2 linked regions of the Diceros bicornis minor genome follow. The protein of the gene in region 2 interacts with the protein of the main gene of each other region in a biochemical or structural test. Links are inferred from orthologs where the notes say so. Each region holds a gene or a part of one and is shown on either strand. Other genes may lie near its edges.

Region 1 (4,347 bases), on a different chromosome or scaffold from region 2:
TGCTGTGTGGGCACAGGGAGGTATCCATTCTCAAACTGTCGTCCCTGCCTGCACCCTGCATCCTTGGCCAGAGGATGTCTGCCAAAGAGCCCAGCCCACCACACTGTCCCCCCACCCTAGGGGAGGAGGGCATCTGACTGCCCACATATCTCTATGGCAACCACTGCCTCCTATTCAAGGTACCCAGAGAGAAATAAAACAAATAAGTCAACTTTATAGCCAATGTAGAGGAACAGCAAGCGATGGGGGCTGGGAGGGAGACAGCAAGACAAACCCTGCTTGTGGGGATGGAGAGAGGCCCTCCTAGCCAGGAGGCAGATATGGCCCTGCTAAACAGGTCCCAGAATAATTGTCAATATGACAGAAGCCCACTGTTATCTCTGTGGAATTTTATAGCTTCTCCAATGCTTGGAGACATCTATTACACCTCTTACGCCAGATATGCCCAGGTCATTACTAGCCGTGGCCCATGTCTTCCCCAGGGCATCTGTCCCAGCTCCTAATACATGGCATCCTATTGCCCAGCCCTAATTCCTTTCTCTGAGTCTCATAACCTTTGTCCCCTTGCTGCACCCCTCAATGACCTGACCCATCCACATACCTCCGTACTCACCAGACCTGTATACAGAGCACTTCACACATTGCCGGGTCTATACCTATCAGATGAGGCGAGTTTGGCAAGCACCCAATATAAAGTTCAGGGAGTGTAGATTGGAGGCGTGCGAGACAGAGCCTGACGCTCCTGGCCTCAGGTACTTGGGAGGATCTTGCAAGTCAGGCTGCAAGGCCTGGGCCTTCACAATCCCCAGACCCTGAGGCAATACTACTCCCACCCAGACCAAGCCATTGAGATTTCCAGACCATGAGGCATCACCCCCCACCCAGGACAGACTGCATCTGCTACTGCACCACCAACTTTGTAATTTGATCAAAAAAGCAATCAAGTTCATCTGGCAGGATTTGTTCCTGAGAAGCCCTCGCCAGTAGCAGCCTCCCCTGATGTTTACAGATTCCCTTCCCTTGGGAGTCTGTTCTGCCGCCTGGTGGGCAGGGGGAGGCTAGATTTGTCAGAGCTGTTCACTTACTACATTTCCATCTTAAGTCACCACTGGGGCACAGGGACTAAGACAGGCTACTTAGGAGTGGTTACCACTGCCCCAAACGCAGAGACTTCAAGTGCCCCAAATTAAGAGCTCTCCATTCCATGCCACCCACCATTCCCCATATCGTCCCCCTCCCTCAAAACCAAACTCCTTTGAGCCTTTAGGGACCACTCGTCCCTGCAGCTACCTACATCTCTTACATTTTCTTCCTTCTTTTCTACCTGAGCACTTCCAGTTCCCTATGCAACTCCTTGCCTGGCTTCAAAGTCCACCCACCCTGAAATTCCAACCCTTCTCCAAGTGCTAAAACATAAGCCTCCAACTCCTGGAGCATCTTCAGAAGAAGACACAGCCCTTGGAGGCACCCCAGGGAGAGACCAAGATGGGGAACTCACCCCGGGCAGACAACTTCTTGGTATTGATGATTTTTGCTGCATACTCCTGCGTGGAGGTTTTCTTCACACACCTGCGGACCACAGAGAAAGCACCCCTGGAGGGAGAAGGGGGAAAGAACTGGGACACCGAGCAGAGTGACACAGACACGCTTCAGGTCTGAGGACAGCGATGCTCCTATCACTAGACCTTTAGTCAAAATCACACCCACACCAGCATAGCGACCATCACGATCCAACACCGGGCAGAAAGATGTGGCCACTGTGGGACACTGAACAGATGTGGGTGGAGGACCACCCCCACTCCTACTCCCACATCTAGTGGTTGAGCAAAGCAACAGCCCTAACAGGGCTGTATGTCAGGAGCTGGTGGGCGATGCTTAAAACACACACCTGCTGCATCTCAGGGACAGCCCTGCGGTCCGGCCAAGAGAACCAGGAGAAGGGAACAGAGACCCTGCCCTTCTCTCAGCAGACATAGTTGAGGGTAGAGGAAGGAGAGATTAGAAAGAGGGTGTAATCCCCTAAGAAAGAAATCTCCCTCACCCAAGGAGGAAGGCGAGGAAAGTGAGGGTCAAATCCCCTATAACTGGCTTGATCCCACTGCATCCCGGCTCAACTGACAGCAAAGAAAGAGAGGATGCTGTTATGGGTCTCAGACATAAATAGCTCCCCTTTCCCAAGATATTTTCCTCTACTTCTCCCCCAAATGGGAGCTCGCACTCTTCAGCTCTGGAAACGTCTAGGGGGGCGGGCAGGGCGGGGGCTGCAGTGGCCGGGCTCGGCGCCGCGGGTGGGGGGGGGGGGCCGGGGCTGCTGCAGCGGCCAGCTCAGTGCGGAGGGGAGGGGGATGCTGCGGCTGCGGCGCGCGACTCCCGGGACCACTGCAGGAATGGGGGGAGGGGACAGGGGGTGCTGCAGTACTGCCCAGCAGCGGGGCTGGGATCCTGGAAGCGACACTAGCGGGGGGGCGGGGCCGGGCACCAAACATCCCCCCACAGCCGGGCACCGCAGCACGCTTGGAGCTGCAGGACCAGGGAGGGTCCTGAGTGCCAGGCGCGCGGGACATGGGACAGGGTGCTGAGTGAGCTCCTGAGCAGGGTGGGGAGCGGGTGGCTAGCAGGCGGGGTCGGGATGGGGGGCGCCTGAAGGGTGCGGGAGGGGCGGGGCTGGAGGGCGCCCAGGAGCGGTCCGGGGGCTGCAGTCCCCGCGGCAGCGCGGGGTGCAGCAGCCCGGGCAGCTGCTGCAGGGCGCGGAGGGGGCTGCGGGACAGGGAGCGGGGGGCGAGGGGGCCCCGGAGGCAGCGGGCGGGAAAGGCTGGGGGTGGGGCAGGCCGAGGGGGCGCTGCAGCGGCCGGTGCAGGGCCGGGGGGCGGGGCGAGGAGCCGCATAGCGCCCGGGCGGCGGGGGCAGGGTGGGGGGCCGCGGCTGGTGGCAGGCGGGCCGTACTTGCCGAGCTCCTCGAAGAGCTGGTAGTCGTCGGTGAAGCGGGTGCAGGTGGCGGTGGTGGCCATGCTGGCGGGCGGGCGGACGCGGCGGTGCAGCCCGCGCCAACGTCGGTGCACAGTCACCGCCGCCCGGCCGAGGGAGCAAGAGGAGGAGACGGGGCTGAGCCCGGCAGCACCGCGAGACTTTACCGGAGAGAGCGAGGGAGGGAGGGACACCCCCGCGGCTGCCCGCCCCGCCCCCAGCCCTGCCGGCCCCCCCCCACGCCCCGCCCCCGGCCCGCCCCCGGGGAGGGGCCTCCTGCCGCCGGCCCCGCCCCGCCCCGGAGCGGCCAGGGCTGGGCGGCGCGCGCTGGGGAGCTGAGGGGAGGGGGGTCCCAGCCTGGGGCCACCCAGAGGGAGCTGAAATGTTCGCGACCTGTGGGCTTGTCCCGGGGCGGACCCTGCAAGGGCTCGGGATGTGCGTGCGAGTGTGTGTGTATTGGGATCCTGTAGGGGTCTGGACCACCGACTTCTCTGGCGGGCCCCGCACACGGGTCCTAAGCCCCCATCCCGGCTCACACCTTGTGGAGAAAGGGCCAAGGTCAAAAAGCCTGTGTCAGACTGCACACTCTGGCCCTAGCCTGTGCAGAGCCAGCTCTCAGCAGCTTTCCCTCGGGAAGCTGACAGTCTAGACTTGTGTAAGCATCACGGCCATTATTAGATAAAACCCTTCAGGCACGGATTGTTCAGGGAGACCAGGACATGGCCAAAGATGCAGGTGGAACTCTGCCTGCCTGCACTCCAACCTTAGAGATGAGAGAATGTTCTCTCTCTGGCCAGCAATGCAAAGGATGAAGTGGGACCGATTAGAAAAGGCTTTATGCCATGTGGGCTAGAAGAGCAAGCAGAAGGAAGGAGCAAATATCCCCATTCTCTTGCAGGCACCCTGTATTTTTATTTTATGGCACTCATCACATTTTTGTAATGATATGTTTACAGATATGAGAGGCAGTAGAGCTAAAGCATGGTTGTCTAAAGAGTGAACTCTGGGCTGGGCTTGGATTTCTAGGCAACTCACTGACCAGCTGTGTGACGTTGGGCAAGTCACTTAATCTTTCTGTGCTTCAGTTACCTTATCTGAAAACTGAGAAGAAAACAAGTTGTGAGTAGTAAATGGGCTAAATCACATAAAGCACTTAGAATAGTACTGGCATCTAATTATAGCAGTTAGCTGTTATTATTTGTTTAACATTTGCCTTCCCACTAAATTGTAGGCTCTAATAGGGCAGGGCCTCTGCCTCCCTTGTTCACTGTTGTATACTCAAGCCCCAGACCCTCAGTAAATATTTGTGGAATGAAGGGACTCCTTGGGGCCCTGGCAGAGGGAGTTACCATCCCTTCCTCTGTCCCCACTGTCAGAGGATGG
Region 2 (4,347 bases):
ACCCTAGGTCTAAGGAGGAGGTAAGCTCTGGGCAGTAGTGGCTAACCACTCCCCACCATACTCTACACCTGTGTCCCTCTTGGATGCGAGTCTGGCTCTCCAGGCCCTGCATGTGCCCTGAACAGAAGGCCCAGTCTGGGGCTGGAGGGAAGGAGAGAGACACTGAAGACTCTTCAAGTGGCTGGATCCAGCCCTGACCCTGGTCCAGTCCCACCCCTACCCGCTCCTGCTGGCATCTGACACCTGTCTGCCAGGATTTCCTCAAGTTTGGGCAACCTCCAGCCGAGGAGTGGAACGACCAGGAGCGGAATGACCAGGGCCAGGTATTTTTAGCAAGTTGCTGGCAGCTGCCTGGAAGGTGCTGGGGGGTGAGGTGGTTCATTCTTTCCCTTCTCTGGGCCTGTATTCCTCCCCAGGATTCAAGCATGCACCTCTACCTGCAACACACAGCCAGAGGCCTCCCTTCCTTGCCCCCTCCCCAAACAGCTCTCTAGGGGCCCCCAGGAGCTCATGGGGTGACAGTAACCCTCACCCTGGAGGGCAGGCTCATCAGGTAGAATCTTCAACTCCCCAGGGCAGGGAGGGGACGGGGAAGGACTTGGTGTTGAGGCTAGAAGCCCAGAACCCCTACAGTCTAGCTCAGATATGGGCCAGTGGGGAGTGGGTGTCATGGGCAGAGAGGGGTGAAGTCTGTCCAGCCTATAACTGGTCTGCTTGCTTGGGCAACAGGCCAGGACTTGGGGAGAGAGAAGGGAAAATTCACTTTTAAAGGGCCAGCCTTATTCTTCCCCAGAGGGGAGTTGGCGCACTTGGCTGCTCTGGCTTTCCCTCTTGCCCTCACCCATGATGGCACCCTCCACGCCGATCCCCCTGCCCCTCACCATTCACATACTCTCCCTCCTCCTCCCCCCTTCTCTGCCCCCACCAACCACACACTCAGACCTGGGCTTTGTCTGCCGAGTCCGTCCCTGCCCCGCCCTGATGGGTGTGAGGTCCTCCGAGGAGGGTAGGGGATTCCCCTGGGGGGGGGGGACCGACACGTCAGCCCCCGCATCCGCGTGGACGGGGGCGAGCGCGGGGGTGGGGGCGGGGGCGGACAGAGGCTTAAATAGGCGGCTCTGGAGCCCAGACCCAGTGCGGACTGAGAAGGCGGCGGCTGCGGCAGCGTCGAGTGTCCACGAGCCGGGGTCTGCGAGTAGATTGTATCCGAGCCCGAGACTAGTCTTGACCGTCTCCGTCTGCCAGTGGGTGAGTGTCCTGGCCGAGCGGGGTGCGGGTGGTCGCACTGTCTGGGTTGCGGATGGACGAGTCGGGAGGCTGGGTCACCAGTCAGGGTGCAAGGACCTTCACGGCTGGGAGGGGACTGCGGCAGGTCCTCGGCCTCACCATCTTGCCTGACCCCGAATGGGGCAGGCGCGCCTGGGGTCCAGCCTCTCATACCATTTCCACCGCGGCTCACGCGGCCATGGCGATTCCCGTTCCCCAGACGGCGTCAGACGCGATGACTCTGAATGGCGGCGGCAGCGGAGCGGGCGGGAGCCGCGGCGGGGGCCGGGAGCGCGAGCGCCGTCGGGGCAGCACCCCCTGGGGCCCCGCGCCCCCGCTGCACCGCCGAAGCATGCCAGTGGACGAGCGCGACCTGCAGGCGGCGCTGGCTCCGGGAGCTCGGGCAGCGGCTGCAGCTGGGACCGGGGCCCAGGGTCCAAGGCTGGACTGGCCCGAGGGCTCCTCCGACTCGCTCAGCTCAGTGGGCAGCGACTCAGACGAGAGCGTTTACAAGGTGCTGCTGCTAGGGGCGCCTGGCGTGGGCAAGAGCGCTCTGGCGCGCATCTTCGGTGGTGTAGAGGATGGGCCTGAAGCAGAGGCTGCAGGTGAGGGGCCGGGACTATTCAAGGGAGGGGAGATCCCAGGCTTAGGACTGGAGTCTGCAGGGCTGGGGACCTGTGTTAAAAGCGGCGAATAGCATAGGATTCTGAAGGCACTTTCAGAAACATGTCTCTACCTACCCGTTTCACAGATGGGGAACCTAAGGGAAAAGGAACTCCCATGGGTAGGGGAAGAAATGCCCAGAATAGAAGGCCCAGGGCATACATAGACAACTCTGTAGAATGAGAATAGGACATCCCTCCCTGCCAGGGCTGGCAAGAACACAGCCAGAAAGAGTTTCTACAAGAAGAGCCCTAGGTGACCAAGGCTCCTAGGAGATGTGACGGTCCCTGTTTTAACAAAGGTGACTGTGGTCAGAGCTGCCCTGGGGCCCAGGCAACAGGAGAGCAGGGAGCACAGGAGTGGCCACCCAAGACATTGCTAGTTTGGGGAAGGGGAGTCTAGGTGGGGGTCAGGCACACCATGCCCTCCACCCCCCACTTCCCAGTCCTGTCACTTCTGTTGCCACATAGCAGCCTTCAGTGGAGGGGAAGGTTAGGGGGGCATTAGGGAGGAGTTGGAGGGTGTAGCCAGAACAGGAAAACTTGTGCATGGTGGGCAGTAGTAGGTAACCTGACTACTGGTCTCCCGCCTAGGGCACACATACGATCGCTCCATCGTGGTGGACGGAGAAGAGGCATCACTCATGGTCTATGACATTTGGGACCAGGTAGGATGCAGGCTGAGATCCAGGGCAGGGTGGGAGGGGTGAGCTAGGGGTAGGGGCCTGCTGAGAGTGACAGCCTTGTAGCCTTGGCATGAGGACTATTGGGTAGATGTGTGTGTGTGCGTTCCCTAGGATGGGAGCCGCTGGCTACCAGGCCACTGCATGGCCATGGGAGATGCATATGTCATCGTGTACTCAGTGACAGATAAAGGCAGCTTCGAGAAGGCCTCAGAGCTGCGAGTCCAGCTGCGGCGGGCACGGCAGACAGACGATGTGCCCATCATCCTGGTGGGCAACAAGAGCGACCTGGTGCGCTCTCGTGAGGTCTCCTTGGATGGTGAGTAGGGAGCGGGTTGGAAAGGGAGGGAGATCCTGGCTGGGCTGTGGTCCACTCAGTCTTGACTCAGCTTGAGTCCCCAGGGATCATCAGTGGCTAAAAATGTTCAGGAAGAAAATTTGAGGTGGAGACCAGGAGAGCTGCTGCCCTCCCAGAGTACTCCCAAAGACCTGAGAGTGCTCGGGCAAAGACTAAATGCGCTAGGAGAGGTGGAGGCTGCTGGGTGCTGAGCTGGGGCACCTCAGGGCCCTCGGCTCCTGTCCCCTTTGGCCATGGCCTGACAGACCAGGGGTGAGGAGAATGCAGGGAACCGGGCCAGGAGGTCAGAGCGTGGATTCCAGGCCCAGGCCAGTCTTGGTGTAGGCTTGCCCATGGGGAGGACCGTCTCCTCTTGGGCTTCTCCCCTGTGGCCCCCAGAACTGAGCCTCTCAGAGGAACCCAGCAATGACTTGGTGACATCCCCCCCACCCCACCGGTCATTCATTATGATGTAACATCAAACCACAAAACACTAAGCTGTCCAATGAAGTTCTCATTTACCTGTGTTGACTATCGCAGCACTTCTATTTACATATCAAACTGCAAATTATTTCAGTAAGTGAGTCTCCTTTTGTGGGTCTTTGTGAGCTCCTCAAACACTGCACACTCTGCCAGTTGGGTGACCCAGCCATTGCCTGGGACTCTCCCTAGGCATGGGAGCATGCCTAGGAGGCATGGGAGCTGGGGTCTCTGTGTTTCTGGGGAGGACCCAGGGCTCCCCCTTCCCTTACCCACAGATTCCTGAGTGTTAGCTGCCATCGGGTGGTCGGGGTTTAAATGGGCTCCTCACCCACCCACCCTTTGTTTACTGGGGTGTGCTTGTTCCCACTCACACCAGAGGGCCGGGCCTGCGCCGTGGTCTTCGACTGCAAGTTCATTGAGACGTCAGCTGCGCTGCACCACAACGTCCAGGCACTGTTTGAAGGTGTCGTGCGCCAGATACGCCTGCGTCGGGACAGCAAAGAGGCCAACGCACGTCGGCAAGCTGGGCGGCGAGAGAGCCTTGGCAAGAAGGCGAAGCGCTTCCTGGGCCGCATTGTAGCACGCAATAGCCGCAAGATGGCCTTTCGTGCCAAGTCCAAGTCCTGCCACGACCTCTCAGTGCTCTAGGCCCCACAGGCACTCACTGCGTTGTGCAGAGAGATGGGCAGGTTGGTGGGCTGGCCCAGCCAATGCCCTAGGTGCCTCAGGGCTGGCGCAGACTCTGGGCATCCCCCACCTTGTGGTCACGGACAGACAGTGCTGCCCAGGGAGGCGGCTCCAGTGGCCATCAAGGGCTGGGCCCACAGAGATGCGTGTGCAGGCCCATGTGCGTCCCCAGCAGCAGCCTGAACCCAGCCCACGGGACAGGCCTGTGTGTGGGGAGAGGACTCCCTTT

The links. The genes of interacting proteins can lie anywhere in the genome.
Region 1: of the proteins of RRAD (region 2) and CAMK2G, one has a biochemical effect on the other in vitro, tested with the Homo sapiens proteins (2 studies listed by BioGRID, with this or other methods). The link is inferred for Diceros bicornis minor from reciprocal best matches to the Homo sapiens genes RRAD and CAMK2G.

What each region holds. Positions count from the first base shown.
Region 1 is NC_080745.1:32,813,672-32,818,018, reverse strand, and holds the start of CAMK2G (calcium/calmodulin-dependent protein kinase type II subunit gamma), read right to left. Parts: upstream 3,077-4,347; 5' UTR 3,009-3,076; coding exon 2,944-3,008; intron 1,594-2,943; coding exon 1,499-1,593; intron 1-1,498.
Region 2 is NC_080771.1:18,868,317-18,872,663, reverse strand, and holds the start of RRAD (GTP-binding protein RAD), read left to right. Parts: upstream 1-1,149; 5' UTR 1,150-1,300; coding exon 1,301-1,871; intron 1,872-2,522; coding exon 2,523-2,596; intron 2,597-2,725; coding exon 2,726-2,930; intron 2,931-3,807; coding exon 3,808-4,079; 3' UTR 4,080-4,347. UniProt on the Homo sapiens protein: May regulate basal voltage-dependent L-type Ca(2+) currents and be required for beta-adrenergic augmentation of Ca(2+) influx in cardiomyocytes, thereby regulating increases in heart rate and contractile force.